Linked DNA regions of Drosophila melanogaster. Changing the gene in region 3 together with the main gene of any one other region gives a genetic interaction. Each region holds a gene or a part of one and is shown on either strand. Other genes may lie near its edges.

Evidence for each region. Genes that interact genetically often act in the same process or in processes that back each other up.
Region 1: of fu (region 3) and cos, changing one suppresses a phenotype caused by changing the other (phenotypic suppression), as found in Drosophila melanogaster (one study listed by BioGRID).
Region 2: of fu (region 3) and Dad, changing one suppresses a phenotype caused by changing the other (phenotypic suppression), as found in Drosophila melanogaster (one study listed by BioGRID).

The regions. Positions count from the first base shown.
Region 1 is NT_033778.4:7,381,670-7,388,929, reverse strand, and holds cos (costa), read left to right. Parts: upstream 1-1,814; 5' UTR 1,815-1,950; coding exon 1,951-2,602; intron 2,603-2,660; coding exon 2,661-3,372; intron 3,373-3,428; coding exon 3,429-3,847; intron 3,848-3,910; coding exon 3,911-5,733; 3' UTR 5,734-6,754; downstream 6,755-7,260. Other genes in the region: Dhx15 (DEAH-box helicase 15), read right to left, coding at 1-222, 502-1,295, 1,350-1,402. UniProt on the Drosophila melanogaster protein: Regulates cubitus interruptus (ci) processing by recruiting multiple kinases to promote its efficient phosphorylation.
Region 2 is NT_033777.3:17,051,988-17,057,012, reverse strand, and holds the start of Dad (daughters against dpp), read right to left. Parts: upstream 3,007-5,025; 5' UTR 2,651-3,006; intron 2,117-2,650; exon of another isoform or gene 1,978-2,116; 5' UTR 1,839-1,977; intron 1-1,838.
Region 3 is NC_004354.4:18,655,946-18,661,742, reverse strand, and holds fu (fused), read right to left. Parts: upstream 3,989-5,797; 5' UTR 3,904-3,988; coding exon 3,793-3,903; intron 3,721-3,792; coding exon 2,351-3,720; intron 2,292-2,350; coding exon 1,717-2,291; intron 1,649-1,716; coding exon 1,287-1,648; 3' UTR 1,255-1,286; coding exon of another isoform or gene 1,075-1,254; 3' UTR 539-1,074; downstream 1-538. Other genes in the region: CG6696 (uncharacterized protein), read left to right, coding at 1-14, 68-504, 1,075-1,254; CG6659 (uncharacterized protein), read left to right, coding at 4,600-4,645, 4,768-5,029, 5,098-5,419, 5,473-5,797. UniProt on the Drosophila melanogaster protein: Probable serine/threonine-protein kinase; maternally required for correct patterning in the posterior part of each embryonic metamere. May be involved in control of cell division during metamorphosis and ovarian development. May interact with costal-2.

The DNA of each region.
Region 1 (7,260 bases), on a different chromosome or scaffold from region 3:
CAATGTTGGTGGACACCACGACCTTGCGTCCAATTGCGCCATTAGCATTTGGCGGCGGGGCCGGTTCGAAGATGCGCTGCTGCAAATTGGGCGGCAGCGTCGAGTACAGGGGAATGCATTTCAGCTCTCCAATTTCTGAGCCCAAATTGTCGATCTCGCGCTTGATGCGCTTGCAAGCCTCCTCAATCTCCTCCTGGCCCGTGAGGAACATTAGGATATCACCTAGAGTAGCAAAATCAAGTTGGGGTTTAGTTTACAATGGAAAAAGCGAATGCGTCTTTTCCGGCATTGAATAGGATCATATTCAAAAGTCGTAAACACTTGAATGATTACAATACCATTAAAGCAAATACGAAGCATTTGCCGCCCTTCGGCACTCGGAAAGTTTATATTTTGCCTGGCACTTTTACATTGTAAACATATGATCGATAAATGCTTCTTAGAACAATGAACTAGCAAGCTATTAAATGAACTCCAAGCTAAACTCATTTACCAACTTACCCTCAATTTCCTCGCACATGTGTATCTGGATTACCGTGCGAATAGCAGCCTCTAGGTAATCTCTTTCTGGTTCGGGCGTGTAGAAGATCTCCACGGGATGTGTGCGACCGGGCACTTTCATGAGCGGTGCGTTGTCGAAATACTGCTGGAACTTGCCGGCGTCCAGTGTGGCGGACATGACCACCAGCTTAAGGTCGCTGCGCTGACGAATGACCTCCTTGAGCACGCCCATTAGAATGTCAGTGGCCAAGGTCCGCTCGTGAGCCTCGTCAAGCAGAATGACCTGGTACTGGTCCAGCATGGGATCAGACATGGCCTCGCGCAACAACATACCATCGGTCATGTACTTGAGCAGCGTCTTGGCCGTGGAGCAGTCCTCGAAACGGATGGAGTAGCCGACCTCTTCGCCCAGTTTTACGTCCATCTCCTCCGAAACGCGCTGGGCCACGGACATGGCGGCAACTCGACGTGGCTGTGTGCAGGAGACTCCCTTGCGCCCCTTGGATACTGCGAAGTCCACGCACCACTGCGGGATCTGGGTCGTCTTGCCGGAGCCAGTCTCGCCCACCAGCACAATACACTGGTGCAGGCTGAGCAGCCGCATAAAGTCCGCCTGGTACTCGAACACGGGCAGCGCAATGCGCTTCTTGTAGAGATTCTGGTACCGTTGTGAGTACGGCGTGTTGGTCAGCGGGTTCATCGTGGGCGGTTGCTTGTTGGGCACGAATCCGCCCAGGATTTGAGCCACTGTGCCGGCAGCGGCTGCCGCCGACGAGGAGGACGCCTCCGGGTCCCTGGTGAGAAAGGAGCGTTACATTACTGCCGTATGTTGGCCTCGGGTCACTTACTTCTTCGCCTTGCTGCCGTAGGTCTCCCCCACTTCGATTCGACGCTTGGACATGCTAATTTATGGTGATTACTGCACTTAATTCTCAAAACGAAGCGTTTAGCACAAAAAAAAACACGCGCTCAGTGAGACCTTTAGCATATACCGACCATGCTGATCGCAACTTTTAAAATACCAAAGTTTACTGTCTGTGTATACTATATAAGCCCATGGTTAGCGAAGATCACAACCAACAGCACGGCAGCAATTTGGCATTTAAAAAAAAACAGCAGTTCAAGCTTAAGTCTTTTGACGAGAATCTATCTATAGAATTCGGTTTTACTCACCAGTTTGAAGAATAGTTGTGAGCTCACAGTCTTAAAATTGACATTTGACAGCAATTTGATTGGAAACTGATTTTGATTTTTACAGTAACAAACTGTTACATGGATTCGGTATTTTCGGCTTGGGTTGGCGCTTTAGCGTCGGCCACACTATCACATTGTATCGATTCGGAGGGAGTTGAATTTTTGCACGTATTTGAAAGCGCAAAGATGCGAAACAAAGAGCAGGATATCGAATGAAAGAGCTCCTGCGAGACCAGGACTAGTTGCCTAACCACCATGGAAATACCCATTCAGGTAGCGGTGCGCATCTTCCCGCATAGAGAGCTCAAGGACTTGTTGAGGAGCTTCGGCCCCACAGAGCCCAAAAAGGATGCGCAGGCGGTGGATGAGGGGGCGGACTCCAAGGACTCCGAGGCTCAAGTTCCGGCGGCTGAGAAGGACAATCCGTCAATTTCAGAGACGGACCCAAACGGGAATGCTGAGCAGGACAGTGCGGCCGATTCGAAGACAATTCCAGATGCCAATGGCAACGACAGTGGTCAGAAGGATTACCCAGACTCCGCATATTGCGTTCAGGCTATTCCCATCAGCGCTTCGGCCCTGGGATTGCCCAGTGCCCTGCCAGGCGGAGATCCCATGGACAGCATTGCAGCTGGACTGATACAAGTCGGTCCCCACACGGTTCCGGTCACCCACGCCCTGCCCAGCAGCAGCTCCCAGGAGCAAGTGTACCACCAGACGGTCTTTCCGCTCATCACCCTGTTCCTGGAAGGTTTCGACGCATCTGTAGTCACCTATGGCCAGAGGGGCCAGGGCAAAAGCTACACACTCTACGGAAACGTCCAGGACCCTACTCTGACGGATTCCACCGAAGGAGTCGTCCAACTTTGTGTCCGTGACATTTTCTCACACATATCGTTGCACCCAGGTGAGTTTACTAAAAGGATCTTATAAGCATAGTTATCCATTTCCATTTTCACTTTAAGAACGCACCTATGCCATCAACGTGGGATTCGTGGAAATTTGCGGAGGTGATGTCTGCGACTTGTTGGGCATGGGAAACATACACTGCACCAACGTAGATGCCGTCTTCCACTGGTTGCAGGTGGGTCTGTCGGCCCGCCAATCGTTGCCGGCGCACACCCTGTTCACGCTTACCCTGGAGCAGCAGTGGGTGTCCAAGGAGGGGCTGTTGCAGCACCGCTTGTCCACGGCCAGTTTCTCGGATCTCTGCGGCACAGAGAGATGTGGAGACCAGCCACCGGGACGTCCTCTCGATGCTGGCCTGTGTATGCTGGAGCAGGTGATCAGTACTCTCACAGATCCAGGCCTCATGTACGGGGTTAATGGCAACATTCCGTACGGTCAGACCACGCTCACCACTCTCCTGAAGGACTCGTTCGGCGGACGGGCTCAGACGCTCGTGATCCTGTGCGTGTCACCGCTGGAAGAGCACTTGCCCGAAACTCTTGGCAACCTGCAGTTCGCCTTTAAGGTGCAGTGCGTACGTAATTTTGTAATTATGAACACCTACTCCGACGACAACACGATGATCGTTCAGCCGGCTGAGCCTGTTCCCGAATCCAATTCCTCTGCTGGACCCTTGTCGCAGGCGGGACCAGGGGACAACTTTGGCCTACAATTCGCAGCAAGCCAATGGTCCAAACTAGTTACCAACGCCGAGGGGCTATTTTCCAAGTAAGTGTACACATTATTTCCGATGTGGGCCTTTTGACGACAAAAGAAATTTATAGGCTGATAGACTCCAAGCTAATTACTGAAGTGGAGAAGGAGCAGATCGAGGAGTGGCTCTTCCTCAAGCAGGAGTGCGAGGAGTGTCTCAGCTCAACAGAGGCTATGCGTCAGCAAAAACAGTTGGTTCCCATTCTGGAGGCCGAGGAGCCCGAGGACGTGAATTCTGAAGCAGCCAATTCGGAGTCGCCAAACTCCGACAACGAAAACGACACAGACAATGAGTCGCATCGGCCCGATCTGGACGACAAGATAGAAAGTCTAATGGAAGAGTTTCGCGACAAAACAGACGCTCTTATACTTGAAAAACACGCTGAATATCTATCCAAGCATCCGAAGGCGGTTATGCAAAGCCAAGACCGCGAGATTGAGGCACAGCCGCCAGAAGAAAATGGTGATGATCGAAAAGTCAGCATTGGCAGTAAGTCTTTGCCTTGAATAACATTTTTTTATACAGTAACATGTTGATTCCTTGCTTTAATAGGTCGCAGGAGAAGTGTTCAGCCAGGTGCTAGCTTAAGTACTGCTGAGCTTGCCATGCTTAATCGGGTAGCTTCCCAGCAGCCGCCTCCGCCCATCGATCCTGAGTCGGTCGTCGATCCTCTGGAAAGTTCTTCGGGCGAAGGAATCCGTCAGGCGGCTCTCGCTGCCGCCGCCGCCACTGCTCCTATTGAACAGCTGCAGAAAAAATTGCGCAAACTGGTCGCTGAGATCGAGGGCAAGCAACGACAGTTACGGGAAATCGAAGAGACAATCCAGGTAAAACAAAATATAATCGCCGAATTGGTCAAGAACAGCGATACACGCAGCCATGCAAAGCAAAGATTTCACAAGAAACGTGCCAAACTTGAGGCCGAGTGCGACAAGGCCAAGAAGCAGTTAGGTAAGGCGCTAGTTCAAGGCCGGGATCAGTCGGAGATTGAGCGATGGACCACGATAATCGGACATCTCGAGCGTCGACTAGAAGACCTCAGCTCAATGAAGCATATTGCGGGTGAGAGCGGACAGAAGGTGAAGAAGCTACAGCAATCGGTGGGCGAGTCGCGAAAACAGGCCGATGATTTACAGAAAAAGCTTCGAAAGGAGTGCAAGCTGCGCTGCCAGATGGAGGCGGAGCTGGCCAAACTACGAGAATCCAGGGAGACTGGCAAAGAGCTAGTGAAGGCGCAAGGTTCTCCCGAGCAACAAGGCCGCCAGTTAAAGGCAGTACAGGCTAGGATTACGCACCTTAATCACATTTTACGCGAGAAGTCGGATAACCTGGAGGAGCAGCCGGGACCAGAACAGCAGGAGACCTTGCGTCATGAGATCCGCAACTTGCGCGGAACTCGTGACTTGTTGTTGGAAGAACGCTGTCATTTGGACCGCAAACTTAAGCGGGACAAGGTGCTGACGCAAAAGGAGGAGCGCAAGCTGCTCGAGTGCGATGAGGCCATCGAGGCCATAGATGCGGCCATAGAATTCAAGAACGAGATGATCACGGGCCACCGCTCCATCGACACGAGCGACCGAATTCAGCGGGAGAAGGGAGAACAGATGCTGATGGCACGCCTAAATCGTCTCTCAACGGAGGAGATGCGAACACTTCTGTACAAATACTTCACGAAGGTTATCGATTTGCGCGACTCTTCACGAAAGCTGGAGCTGCAGCTGGTGCAGTTGGAGCGTGAGCGGGATGCCTGGGAGTGGAAGGAGCGTGTTCTGTCCAATGCCGTGCGCCAGGCTAGACTGGAAGGCGAACGGAATGCGGTGCTGCTGCAGCGCCAGCACGAAATGAAACTCACTTTGATGCTGCGTCACATGGCGGAGGAAACGTCGGCCAGTTCGGCCAGCTACGGAGAACGAGCTTTGGCCCCTGCCTGTGTCGCCCCGCCGGTGCAGGCCAGTAGTGATTTCGACTACGATCATTTCTACAAAGGTGGCGGCAATCCAAGCAAGGCACTGATCAAAGCGCCAAAGCCGATGCCCACCGGCTCGGCGCTAGACAAATACAAGGACAAAGAGCAACGCAGCGGACGCAACATCTTTGCCAAGTTCCATGTGCTCACCAGATATGCGTCAGCTGCCGCAGCCGGTTCCTCAGGGTCCACGGCCGAGGAATCCACGGCCCTGATTGAGTCAACCACCACGGCCACGGCAACCACTACGTCGACAACCACCACTGGAGCCGTAGGAAAAGTGAAGGACAAGGCCCTGGTCAGCTTCAGGCCGGAGCAGCTGAAGCGTCTGATGCCAGCTCCGACGGCCACGAAAGTGACGCGTCAGAAGAACAAGATAATTATCCAGGACGCAAGTCGTCGAAACTAAATACGAATTTAACCATTTCCAGGACGATATTATAAGGTTAAGCCAAATAGCCATATACAATTAATAGCCATGAGCTGAAATCCAGCCACTTTAATAATTAAGGCGATAATATAAAAAAATGCTTAAAAATGTATAACAGATTACTCCCATATACATGCATACATTTTAATCAATAGTCCGACATATATACCAGCTTGAATTTATTAGTTTACTGCTTGTCGTTTAACTTATTAAAGTGGCTGGAGTTCGATATCTTTTTAAGTGTGAAGCAATAGCTCAGATCCTGGTAACAAGAACTGAACAAGTTTCGTCCACAGTCATGACACAAATAGACTACAACACATGGTTCTCATTCCGGCTCTTTAGCTGGGGAGCATTTATTTTAGAAACCCCCACACGTACATACACCTAGCATATGAAAGTAACTATCCTCATGAGATTCAACCGTAAAGACTTGACCTGCTACTTAAGATACTCGCAAGACAAACCGTACACAAAACTCGCTCAAAGTGTTGACCTAAGTCTCCGCATTGTTTAACTTGTACATAACAATAATTATTAGGTAACCACTTAATTTTAATTGATTTTGTTAGTTTTAGCTTAGTTGTAAACACTATTGTGTCTTCCCTCGAATTTTAATTGACCTTCGATACCAATTACAACATACGTACTCCATACCCAAGTGTTAACCTTTAATATTCTATCAAAAGCATTTACTCTGTACAACTTATAAATGCTTCAAATCGCAGTATTTGCGCTAATCCAATACTCATTTTGCATTAACTTAAAATTAAAATTCAATACTGTTTGGTTGTGTACAACGTATTTTTTATTGTCCATTGATATAGATGCAGTTTGCACTGTACTCCGAGTAACTTAAATTGATATTAATGTATGTATGTTCCCTCAATATCAGCGTGTGAAAAATTATAAACACATTTGTAAGCATACATATTCCGCCAAATCGCTCGGCATGGCTTTGTGTGGATATTGTTGGTTAAGCAAATAAATATATACAAACTAAACTAATCAATCAGTGTTTAATCAGTGTTTTATATTCAAAATAAAATAGTTATCGTCTTATAAAGATAATTAAGTTCTACATTTGCAGCTGAAATCCAAGCAAACACAGTCCACAAGGCAACAGGTGAGAAATGTCCCAGAAATTTCCCAAACAATCGCCCCTTCGGACACACACACACACAGAAAGCGCAAAGAGAGAGGATGAGAGGGAGAGAGAGAGAGCGCCGGTTTAAGCGTTGTATCTAAATCCGATGGCGAGTATCTGAGCATCCGATTCAGTCTTGTTTGGACCGTCGAGCGATCGAGAACCGGATTTCAGCGCTAGTCGGCGAATCGCGAGAGCGTGCGAGTATTTGTGTGTGCGTGTGAGCGTTTGTTTTGGGACACCGATACGGATACGGGTACGGATAGACGGATATACGGCAGCGGTACGCGATTAGCAATCCGCCAACCGGTTGCAGCGGTGCTAGTGCACCACCCTACAAAAAAGTGAATAATAGTATG
Region 2 (5,025 bases), on a different chromosome or scaffold from region 3:
CATTTCCTATAAAAAGGCTACATTCCCCGTTTTCGATTTCCAGACTACGCCCCTGGTGGCAGGCAAGGAATCTAGTGGTGGATCGCTTGAGTGAGTAATACCCCCTCCCCGCCCTCTTTCACCAACGGACAGCCGACGCCAGTGCATATGCAAAGATCTGTGCGGCAGCATCAGCTGTCAGCGAGAAAGAGACGGACGATGGTGGGGGGGAACGATTGGTAAGGGGGAACGATTGGTAAGGGGGAACGAACGGGAGAGCGCCGCAAATTAACAGCCCAAATACGCTTGTGTTTGTGTATGTGTGTGGCCCATGCGACTATTTCCATTTTGTTGCTGGCATTTCTTGCGCTCCTTATCGACGACAAAAGTGGCGCCGCCGGCATGACGGCAACAACATAAAAAACAGCACAGCAGCGACGAACAGCAACAAAATTACGAGTCAGCCCCACAAGCACGCTCACCAACACCAACACACCGCATCAAACACACTCGCGCTCTCTCGCTCACTCATACATACAGAATGCTTGCGTGCAGAGTAAAAAAAAGGCAGGGCGGCGGGCGTGCGAGCGAGAGGGAAATGCCTGGCGCCACTGACGTAATAAAAGAAATAATAGTAACGATGTCGGCGGCAGAGGCGTCGTCGGAATGGCGCCACACCAACACACGCTCACCTTAGACAGACACACGGACAGGGACGAGCGACGCGACGGTCGGTTTGTCAGCCGGTTTGACAAGTTGAAGAATCAACAATTTAAGGTTGAGGTGAGTATGAAATAATCTACCGCAGCCGTGGTTCAAAAGAGTACGTACCACCAGAGAGTGCGAGTGTGGTGGGAATTAGAATTGAAGGCGCTCTCGAAACTCTTCTGAAAAGTCATCAAGTCGAGAACTTAGCGTTCTTAAAGTCTAGCTTTGAATTAGAACTTATCAGAATGCATCTGAGTTTTTCAATCGGAAACAAAAAAAGGTATGTTTTAAACAGTAGCATTATCTTATGAGACCAATCTTAGGACTTTACTTATTTTGTCAAGAACAGAAACATAATTAATAATAGGAATCAATTTATAAGATCCTTCATTCCCTCCACATAAACCGTATAACTGCACGATTAATATTTGTCAATAATAAAAAATGCAATGCGAAAGCGACAGAAATAAATTATTTACATATGGACATACATCTAAAATTATTTATGATGTGCGATGTATGCACCACAGTTTTTAGCTTCAAAATTGCAAAGTAATTGATACCACCGTACTTTTGCTTTCAAATATTTACCAATCTTGAGTCAGCCGGAACAAAAACCCTTCCACATTTAAAACTATGAAAGATGTGTAATCCAGTGAACAATAGAGAGAGCTGTTTACGTTCATAAAATTCAGTATTTAGAGCAAGTCCAATACAAAAAAAAAAAATTGCACATCAACACTTCAAAAGCCATATATCGCACATTTAACAATCAATTGAAAACAGTCTATACTCAAGAATTTTTATTCAAACCCGCTGAGTGATTATTTTTTCCAAATTCACGTTTACAAATTTATATGTATATTTATATATACATACGTAGTTATGGACTTTCTGATAATGAAAGCATGAGTAATTGTAAGTCCAATTGGAAACTATAGCGATTTGGTAACAGATATTCGCGACTCGGTATTATATAAAATATAAAATTATCTTCGAAACCGCATCAGAAAATATTGAATATGAAAACTTAAATAACGCTAATGAGTGATAAGCATTTGTTTGTTGACTTAGCTATTTTGCATAATCACGAGTGCACCTCTTCAAATCGGCTTGATTTTGAGTTCTAAGGAGTGGAAATAGGTACTTACTGTTTAAAATTTTTTGTTAGGTGGTTTCCGTTTAATCCTTTCCTTATGTAGTATTACTTTTTGATATGTGTAGGTGTATTTGATATGTTTAGAGGTTCACTTGATAATTTGTATTTACATTTACTGCAGAAGAAACAAACTATTAGCAACGAATTTGAATTTGTTTAACACGTGCCGACGGGTTTTTGTTATTGGATTGGTAACCGCAGTCGATTTTTTCTTTTTTTGCTGCTGGTCAGTCACTTTTTCCTATGCATGTGTACGTTTGTGTGGATTTAATAAGGTGCGAGTAATGTGTTGATTTCGGTTGAATATTATGTTGAAGTAGCCGAATGCCGGAAAACAATAACAATTTTTAACGTGGTGGAAAAGGTGTTTTTTGTTGGCTTGCGATTTGCGCTCTGCTTTGATTCTGCCGGCGTCGCTACCACCGCTATATACGTATACGTTTGTTTGTTTGTATGGGCCAGTGCAGGTACAATGTGTGTACGTGGCTGGCGAACAATTGCATTTCTTTTCTTGCTGTTATTTGCTCAGTTAAAGCTTGAACACACTTATTATTTGGCCCGCATTTTCCCCCCGATGCTCATTGATTTTTAATTCGCACACGAACACAACCACAAAACACACGCACGCAAACGAGATCGAAGATCCGTTATCCGGGCGGAGAATTCTCGCTCTTTCTTTGCACACACAAACACAAACAAATGCATAGAATTCATAACAGCAAGCAGCAAAAATAAAAGATTTTCGCCTGACGATTTCCAATCCCCTTCGATTCTCACTTCAATTGATTTGCCTGCTGCACTCACACTTTTTCTATGTATTTCCTCCTTCACATTTCAGTTCTAGAGCGCACAACAACTTCACTGCACTTGTTTGTTGTTTACGACGCCCGCGTTTACAACAACAAAAACAAAACCCGTAAATGTTGCGAAAAAAGAGTCGGGGAAAGGCGAAAAAGTCCGATATTTAGGAACTGCGTTTTTTTGTCATTTAATTAACCCAAAAATCATTTAGCAGTCTCGAACACAAATAACGTTATTTCGGAAAATTTCTCGTGGCAATACGTCAAGTATCCATCTTTTCGTTGATATCTTTCGGATTTGGATTTCTCGAACGGCAAAAGAACACACAAGCGACGCGGTTGAAAATTGTTGGGGCAATGAGCGAAGCGCTAACTGTGCGGATTGATAGTCTTTGGAGCTGTGGGGAATAAACGTGGGAGAAACGCCTGAGAGAGCGCCTGGGAGAGGGAGGTTTAGAGAGAGAGAGAAAAATTAAGAGACCAAGAAATTGTAAAATTAGAATCATACATAAAGTTCCCGTTCTAACAATGTATAAGAACTTCAGTTTTATTATTAATTAGAAAAGACTTGTTAAAATATCTTCATATTTTTCACATTCCCATTCCTACTACAAGTGCTAAACCAAAGAATCCAAGACATCTGAGAGTGGAGAGCATCCGTTGGATGGCTACTATGGCGTGGTGAGTTTCGTTTCGCTTCCGCGGACAGATACAACCTGCGCACGCACACCCACACTCGCTTCATGCTGGCAGTGCCGTTGGAAATAGTGTTGGCTAACGCGGTAATTTCAAAAATTGATAAGTTTTCCTAGACAAATTATGTGGGAAATACTAAGCTGTCCTATAATATAGGAGAAATCTATAACTATATGTTTATAATTGAAAAGCCGTGTTCAGTATGAGCATTTTATAATTTAAGTTAAAAAAAGATTAATGTACCTTAAAATTTTATTTAAGATGTCTTAAAAGGTAAATGCTTAAAAGGCATACAAGGTTTAATTAATTCGAATCAAATTAAAAACTCTCAGTACATATTAGCCCCTGTTAAATACGTCTGTTGAAGTTGCCAAAAAACTCAACTCCCTCGATGCTGTCGAGAGCGGAGAACCTGAGGAAGCAACATCGACATTTAGCGCGGTCTTGGTTGCCGCAAAATGTGATGAATGGTTGTGATCAAGGGCATATCAGTTGCATTGCCTTGCCCATGTCTGCCAAACACACGGACGCACACACGCCCATACAAAGTGGCGCCCCTGCAGCGGCCCTACACACACAGAAACACACTTAAAGCGCGCAGCGAGGATCGCATACCGCACTGCGAGAAAAGTCGATGGAATTATCTATGCTAAAATTTTTTACAGTCGTTATTACTATAACTAATTCTCTAAATAATAATAAATATAAGTTTACCTTTAGTTCATCTATGACATACAGTACAGTGCAATACAGTGGCAACGTCGAATTTAGTTATTGTAGTTTATTGTAATTTAAAACCGGTATTACTTAAACGTGTAAGGAACACAAGATCACGTCCAGATTTTTCACAGTGCCAAGCAGACGCTCCAACAGGAACCCTGGTTCGTCAGTTCCAGTAGAAATACATAATTGTCTCTCGTTTGGACGACTCGAAAACACAAAAGCAAATAGGCTCCCGTCATTACGATAATAATAGGTCGGGAACAGGGAACACAGGCCACTTGTGGAGTGAAACCGGCAACCGGCGATGTTGGCAGGAGGAATTTGATCGCGTCGTGAGCGTTAAATAAGCGAGAGTCGGGCCCCTGACTTGCCCCGTGGAGGGGCATGGGTATTAACTCCGGAAAGGACGGCGGCAGGAGTTTGAATACATTATTTTCTTATGAGGCCAGAGACATTCCGCAAATGCTAAACAAATAATACGACAGCGAGGAGTAGCGTCCCACAAAGCATCTTATTTAAAGGGCCTCAATTATTCAGCAGTGCCTTTGTTATGGTTAACCCTTTTCTTAGAATATAAAAATATTGCAACTCTACTAAGCCAATTGCTCTTAAGCATAATATTGGGAAAAAGGTATTTCGAATGTATATATTAAAACTAAATGCTTACTTTATATTTTCGCCATTTTAAAACTACATCGGAGATATTACATTGTGGTTAGTTTTACACGTGTCTATCGCAACAGTCAACCTTATTAAAAGTTACGTCATTTAACTATAAACAAATGCACAACGTGGATAAGCACAAATATGTGTATGGCTTTTGTGTGTGGGAAGAGGTATGGTATATGGTTTGGGTGATATAGTAGATGGTCACCTATGAAATCTTAGCTCGCTCGGCTGTTTACGAGTTTTGTTGTTTGGAAAGTATCGGGTTACCGATTCGACTCTTTTAAATGCCGA
Region 3 (5,797 bases):
CCCGCAAGACTTCAGTGAGTTAAGGCCTGCAAGCAGTCCAAAGTAGTAAAACACCCTTTCCAAACAGACGCCAACCAGACCATGGTCATACTGAAGGCCTTCAAGGAGTACCACGACCGCACCTGCATACGTTTCCGGCCGTACGAACAGGGCGACAAGCACTGGCTGCTCATCAAGGGCAACTACTCCGGCTGCTGGTCGAGCGTCGGCCGGCGTTCGGGTGGCCAGGTGCTCAACCTGAACACACCCAAGTGCGTCACACACGGCGTGGTGGTGCACGAGCTGCTGCACGCGCTCGGCTTCTACCACCAGCAGAGCGCCACGGAGCGGGATGAGTACGTCAAGATCAACTGGGAGAACATCCTCGACGGGCACGCGCACAACTTCAACAAGTACGCCCGCACCCACATCACCAACTTCGGGGTGGAGTACGACTACCAGAGCGTCATGCACTACAGCTCGCGGGCCTTCAGCAAGAACGGGAAAGCCACCATAGAGCCATTGGTGAGTAGGCCAACCCAAATGGTTACCAGTTATTCATGTAATTGAGTATTATTTTAAATCGCTTACACTGTAAAGGAGTTCAGTTTAACATTCAATAGTAATACTGCGAATTAATGGACTATTGTATGGACATACAGTAAATTCGCTTATCTTAACAATTACTACACCTAAATGTTATATTTCGATATACAAACTATAATGCTATCAATCTATTTTGCACAAACCACACTTGAATATGTGCATTCAAAAACACCTATCAATTAACTTAGATTCCATTAGGAATGCCAAAAACCGTGGCTCATAAAATATTTAAATTCGATAGTGATAGTGATTTGATCATATTCAGATTAGGAATTCCTATATTAACACATGGTCCAATGACGTGCAACTATGCTAGGAATAGACGAAGCATTTTGCTTCCTTGTCCAGTTGGAACTATATCAAATGAGAATTCTTTAGCTGAATGGTTGACTACACCTTAGCAGTTTTAGTTGAAGCGATGAGATGTTTGTAATGACTTGGGGGAGCTTGCATCGTCTACACTCTCTGACTCCTGTCCTTTGCTTCCAGGATCCGTACGCCTCGCTGGGCCAGAGACGCGGCCTCTCCGACAAGGATGTGTCCAAGCTAAACGAGATGTACGAACAGGACTGCAGCGAGGACTACCTGCTCAACTTCGACCGCTTCGGGAACTACATCGACGAACTGCTCGACTACTTCCAGGGCAACATTCAGGATCTGCTCGGATAAAAACGCCTGAGGCCAATAAAAGAAAGTGCCGGCTAGGTGACGAAAAAAGTGAAGTGACTGATCTCGTCGAGGGTCTGGGCGGCCTCCCCACGGAGTGCCGGGTACGAGTGGTGCTCAGAGAGTTGTTGCAGCGCAAATCGCAGCTCTCCATTCCATATGCGCTGCACGCCGCGCAGGCTGAAGCGGGCCAGCAGGCGCAGCAGCTGACAGGAACGTTGCCGCAACAGGTGGTGTCGGCTCTGCAGGAGCGAGACGAAGTTTAGCCGCGGATTAAAGACAATCCGTTCTACAAGCTCCGCGTTTTCGGGCAGCTCGCGCAGCACACAGCCCATCAGGGCCAACATGCACCCAGCCAGGCGAACAGAGGCGGCGTCTGAATCCGATTGCCTGAAGTCTACGGGAGAACGGGAACGGGCTAACAGTTTACAGGAGTCAGCTCATACCATCTAAGGGTAATCTTACCGTGCGTGAGGAAGTTGAGGAACAGATCGCTTGCTGCCAGAATGGCAACCGCATCGCAGAACTGCGTTAGGAACTGCTGCTGCAGGTGTACCAAGTGGCAGACCAGTTCGTACAGACTGCAAGCCGTCTCCAGCTCCTCGACAGTTAGCTCCGGAATGCTACGCAACGTTCGACTGAGCGAACCCGTGGTGAGTGGGGCGGAGGCAGCCGAGTCCGAGAGTTGTTTGTGCGACAGGAGCAGCTTGCAGGCGTACATGAGATTGGGCACCAGTTTTACGTCCACGTACACGTTGCGGATGAGCTCGAGGTCAACAATCAAAACAGGATCCACCAGCACAAAGGGCAACGACAGCAACTGGGCCACACTCTTGAGTACCCGTGGAATGGCCTTGGAGTTGCGCAGCGGTGCCACAATAATGCTCACCAGGTTGTGCTGTTTCAATGAGTCCAGTTCGCCGTCAAGCAGCTCCTGCACCGATCTGTTCAAGAAGGCTAGCCACTCATCGTTCTCGATGGGCGGACTTTGGGATTCATCGCAGCTATCCCACCCCGGGAGCAGGCACGGCGGAGTGTTGCTGTTATTGAAAGGGGAAAGTTAGTAAAAGAAATTCTATGAGGCGCAGTGGCCACTTACTCGCTGCTCAGCTTTTCCTCATTGGTGGAATGCATTGAGTGTTTAAGTTGTTGTGGCTGTTGCTGCGGGGGCTGAGAATTTGCGTAGGAAATTGCTTCAGCGGGAGGCTTGTTTTCCTGGTTATGCTTTTCCTGTGTAGCAATCTCCGTGGCCTTGCGTTGCGCCTCATGGTCGACGCTGTGACCCAAGCGAACAGAGAAGTTATCCAGATTCTGACTAAGCTTACGCTTCTCTAGATCCTTGCTGCGCGACTGGCGTACGGTTGGAGCGACTATTGGCTTAGCGGCCACGCCTCCGCCCCGCAAGGAAGCCTGAAAGTCGAAGTTGTCGTTCATATGATTGAGGATCATATTGGAGTTGCCACTGACGAAGCAAGTGTGCGAGTTGATCACCGGCTGGTGTACCATCGGCATTGCCCGAACACCAGACAGATCCCTGTAGGACAAGTCCGCGAAGGGAACGACCACACGTTGCATATTGTCCTCCACATCGGTCTCAAGATGCTCAACATCGCTGGGAGCAATGGCGTTTATGCTGTCGCGGGAGGTGGTCAAGTTTTCCTGTCGCGACTCGCCAAAGTCCAAAGCGGCCAGGGCCTCGTCCAGATCGCCTACCTCCGGATCGGACTGTTTTGACGACTTAACCTTGGCTTCGGGATTTGTGAAAGGCGATTCCTTGGCCGCCTCCGCCTGCGTTTCTGCGATAAAGATGCGTCCCTCAACGAAGGGGTGACACAACAGCTGCGTCCAGGATATGCGCAGACCGGGGTCCTTCTCAAGCAGGCCCTGTAGGAAGGAGCGGCACTCGCTAGTCAGCGTGCTCGGCCACTTGACGTCCTCGTGCTTGATCATCTTCACCAGATGCAGGATGGAGCTGGCACAGAAGGGCGGCTGACCGGCCATGCTTTCGTAGGCTATGCAGCCCAGTGACCACATGTCCGCATGATGGTCGTACGGCTGCTCCGCCAGCAGCTCCGGGGCCATGTAGAGGGGCGTTCCCTTGATCGAGGTGAGCACGTGGGTACCCAGGGTCATGTTGCGGGCCAGTCCAAAGTCGCAGAGTTTCGCGTGCATGTTCTTGTCGAGCAGCACGTTTTGCGGTTTGAGATCCCGGTGGAGGATGCGGTTTGAATGCAGGTAGTACAGAGCGGACACCAGATGCCCGGTCACCCGACGTGCCGGCTCCTCGCCCATGGCTCCATTGTAGGACAGGTAGCGGTGCAGGTCCATCAGCGCGAACTCAGTGACCACGAAAAGGTCCGTCTTCGACTCGAAGGACTCGATCATCTCGATGACGTGCGGATGCTTCAGCCGGGCCTGAATGTCGCACTCCCTGCGCAAATTCTTCAGCTCTTTCGTGGCTCTTCCGCGCTGCAGAACATGAATATGGTGTGAACTAGTTGTATGGACTTGTTGCTTTATCACCTGGCCCGCCCCACTCACCTTGGAGATCACTTTGATGGCCACCACCTTGCTGTCGTCCTTGCGTGTCGCCTTGTATACGCACCCGAAGGATCCTTGCCCCACCATCGAGCTTACCGCGTAGCGGTTCATGGTTATTCTTTGTTTTGCTGCGGATTGGGATGTGATTACCACTGAAGTGCGTGCGGTATGACCGTAGCAGGTTGACTCCGAGGTGGGAACTCGGCTTCGGTACGTAGGTATATGAAAATACTAGATTGCTCATACAGGGTTCCTTTTCTGATAAATGACGCTTTTGCTGGACAGCAATTGTACCTAAAAATCTATATAGACCAGATCATGATACAATCCAAGACAAATACAAGACTAGTTTGCGCTTTTATCTGTGGCAGTAGGTATTAGTATTATCTGCGAATAAACATTTATTAAGTGATAAAAGTTGGAACGAACTTTAACTTATATATTATTATATATTATAAATATTTATATGTATATATTTCTTAATGTACAAATTTTTACTTAATAAGTGCAATAAATGATATGCAATATAAATAATTAAAAATTCCAAAAGTGCAGTAGATAATATAACTAATTATAGGTATGTACCTATATATCGTAATGTACCTAAAATTCAGTGTGACCAAACCAACACAAATGACCCTTTTGACAGCAACTCGGTACGGTCACCCTAGACAAGCACGGCCGAAGAACAGCTGATTGCTGGCTGGTTTTTATTGTGCGGAGCCAGGAATAATCGTTGTGAAATAAATAATGATTGCCAATTTGAACACAGCCACCCAGTGAGACGACACCCACAATCGCAGCACGATGCGCGAGCCCAACCTGTACGTGATCCTGTCGCACGCGCTGATCGGTGAGTTTCCGCCAACCGGCAGACACTTCTGCCACGCCTCTTCCGCTTCCAGGCGGCAGTCTAATTGAGTTGGGGATTCCCACTGCCATTGACCACACTCCCAATTCCAATCCGCATCCCAGGCTGCGGCTTCTTCTTCCTATACGTGCAGCATGTGCGCGTGATCTTCGAGACGCGCACCAACATCCAGCAGCTCAATCAGCTGGAGCGGGAGGCGCTTCTGCGGCGCGAGGATGCCCTGTACTATGCCTTCTACAAGCAGCTGGCCGAAGGGCCGGACTTTTGGCACGGCTACGAGCAGCTGAAGAACGTCACGGACATCGAGTATCCGCACAGTGTCAATGTGCTGCAGCGATTCTACGTGCTGCCGGAGCTGGTCACGGCGTAAGTGACTGCCAGAGGAGTGATGCCCAAAAAGTCCACTAATGCAGATGCACTTTCGCTCCCCAAAGGTACTTCTTTCACGTAGTGCGCTCCGGCTTCAATCCAATGGTGCAACCGATGCAGTTCTATCTGGAGTTCGTGTGGCTGATGGGCGGGGTAACCCTGCTGGTACTCTACCTGTACGGAACGCTGCTCAGCGAGAACATTTTCGGTGGCATATACGGCGTAATCTCGTACCTGATGTTCCACAGCTTCGTGGCCAAGATCTATGAGCGGCCGCTGGCGCGGGAGAACTTCGCCTTTCCGTTCATTTTCCTGCAGATGTTTTATCTGTGTATCTGCATCGGAAGGATCATACACCGACAGCGGCACACATCTCGCATGTTCATGGTAATAGGTGTGCTTTATTGCATTAAGCTCAGTAACATCTTTGCCCTTCGAAGATCTTCGCCATGTCGCTTTTCACCGCCTGCGCCCTACTCTCCTGGCAGTTCTCCACCTTCATCTTCACCACCCAGATCCTGATCATGATGACGTCCTGGAACGCGAGCGCGCTGCCCACGGCTCTGGTCAACGCCTTCGTGCTGGACTACTCGCTGTCGCACCTGCTGGGCCACGCTCTCGCCTTTGTAATGTCGCACGGCAACAGCCAGCTGCTTCTCACCTGGCAGCTGAGCATCTCGCTGTTCCTATTTTTGATTACAATGGTGCGACAGTTGCGTCACGTGCGCAGCCGGCGACTGGGACACGCGCAGGATCTGCTGAACG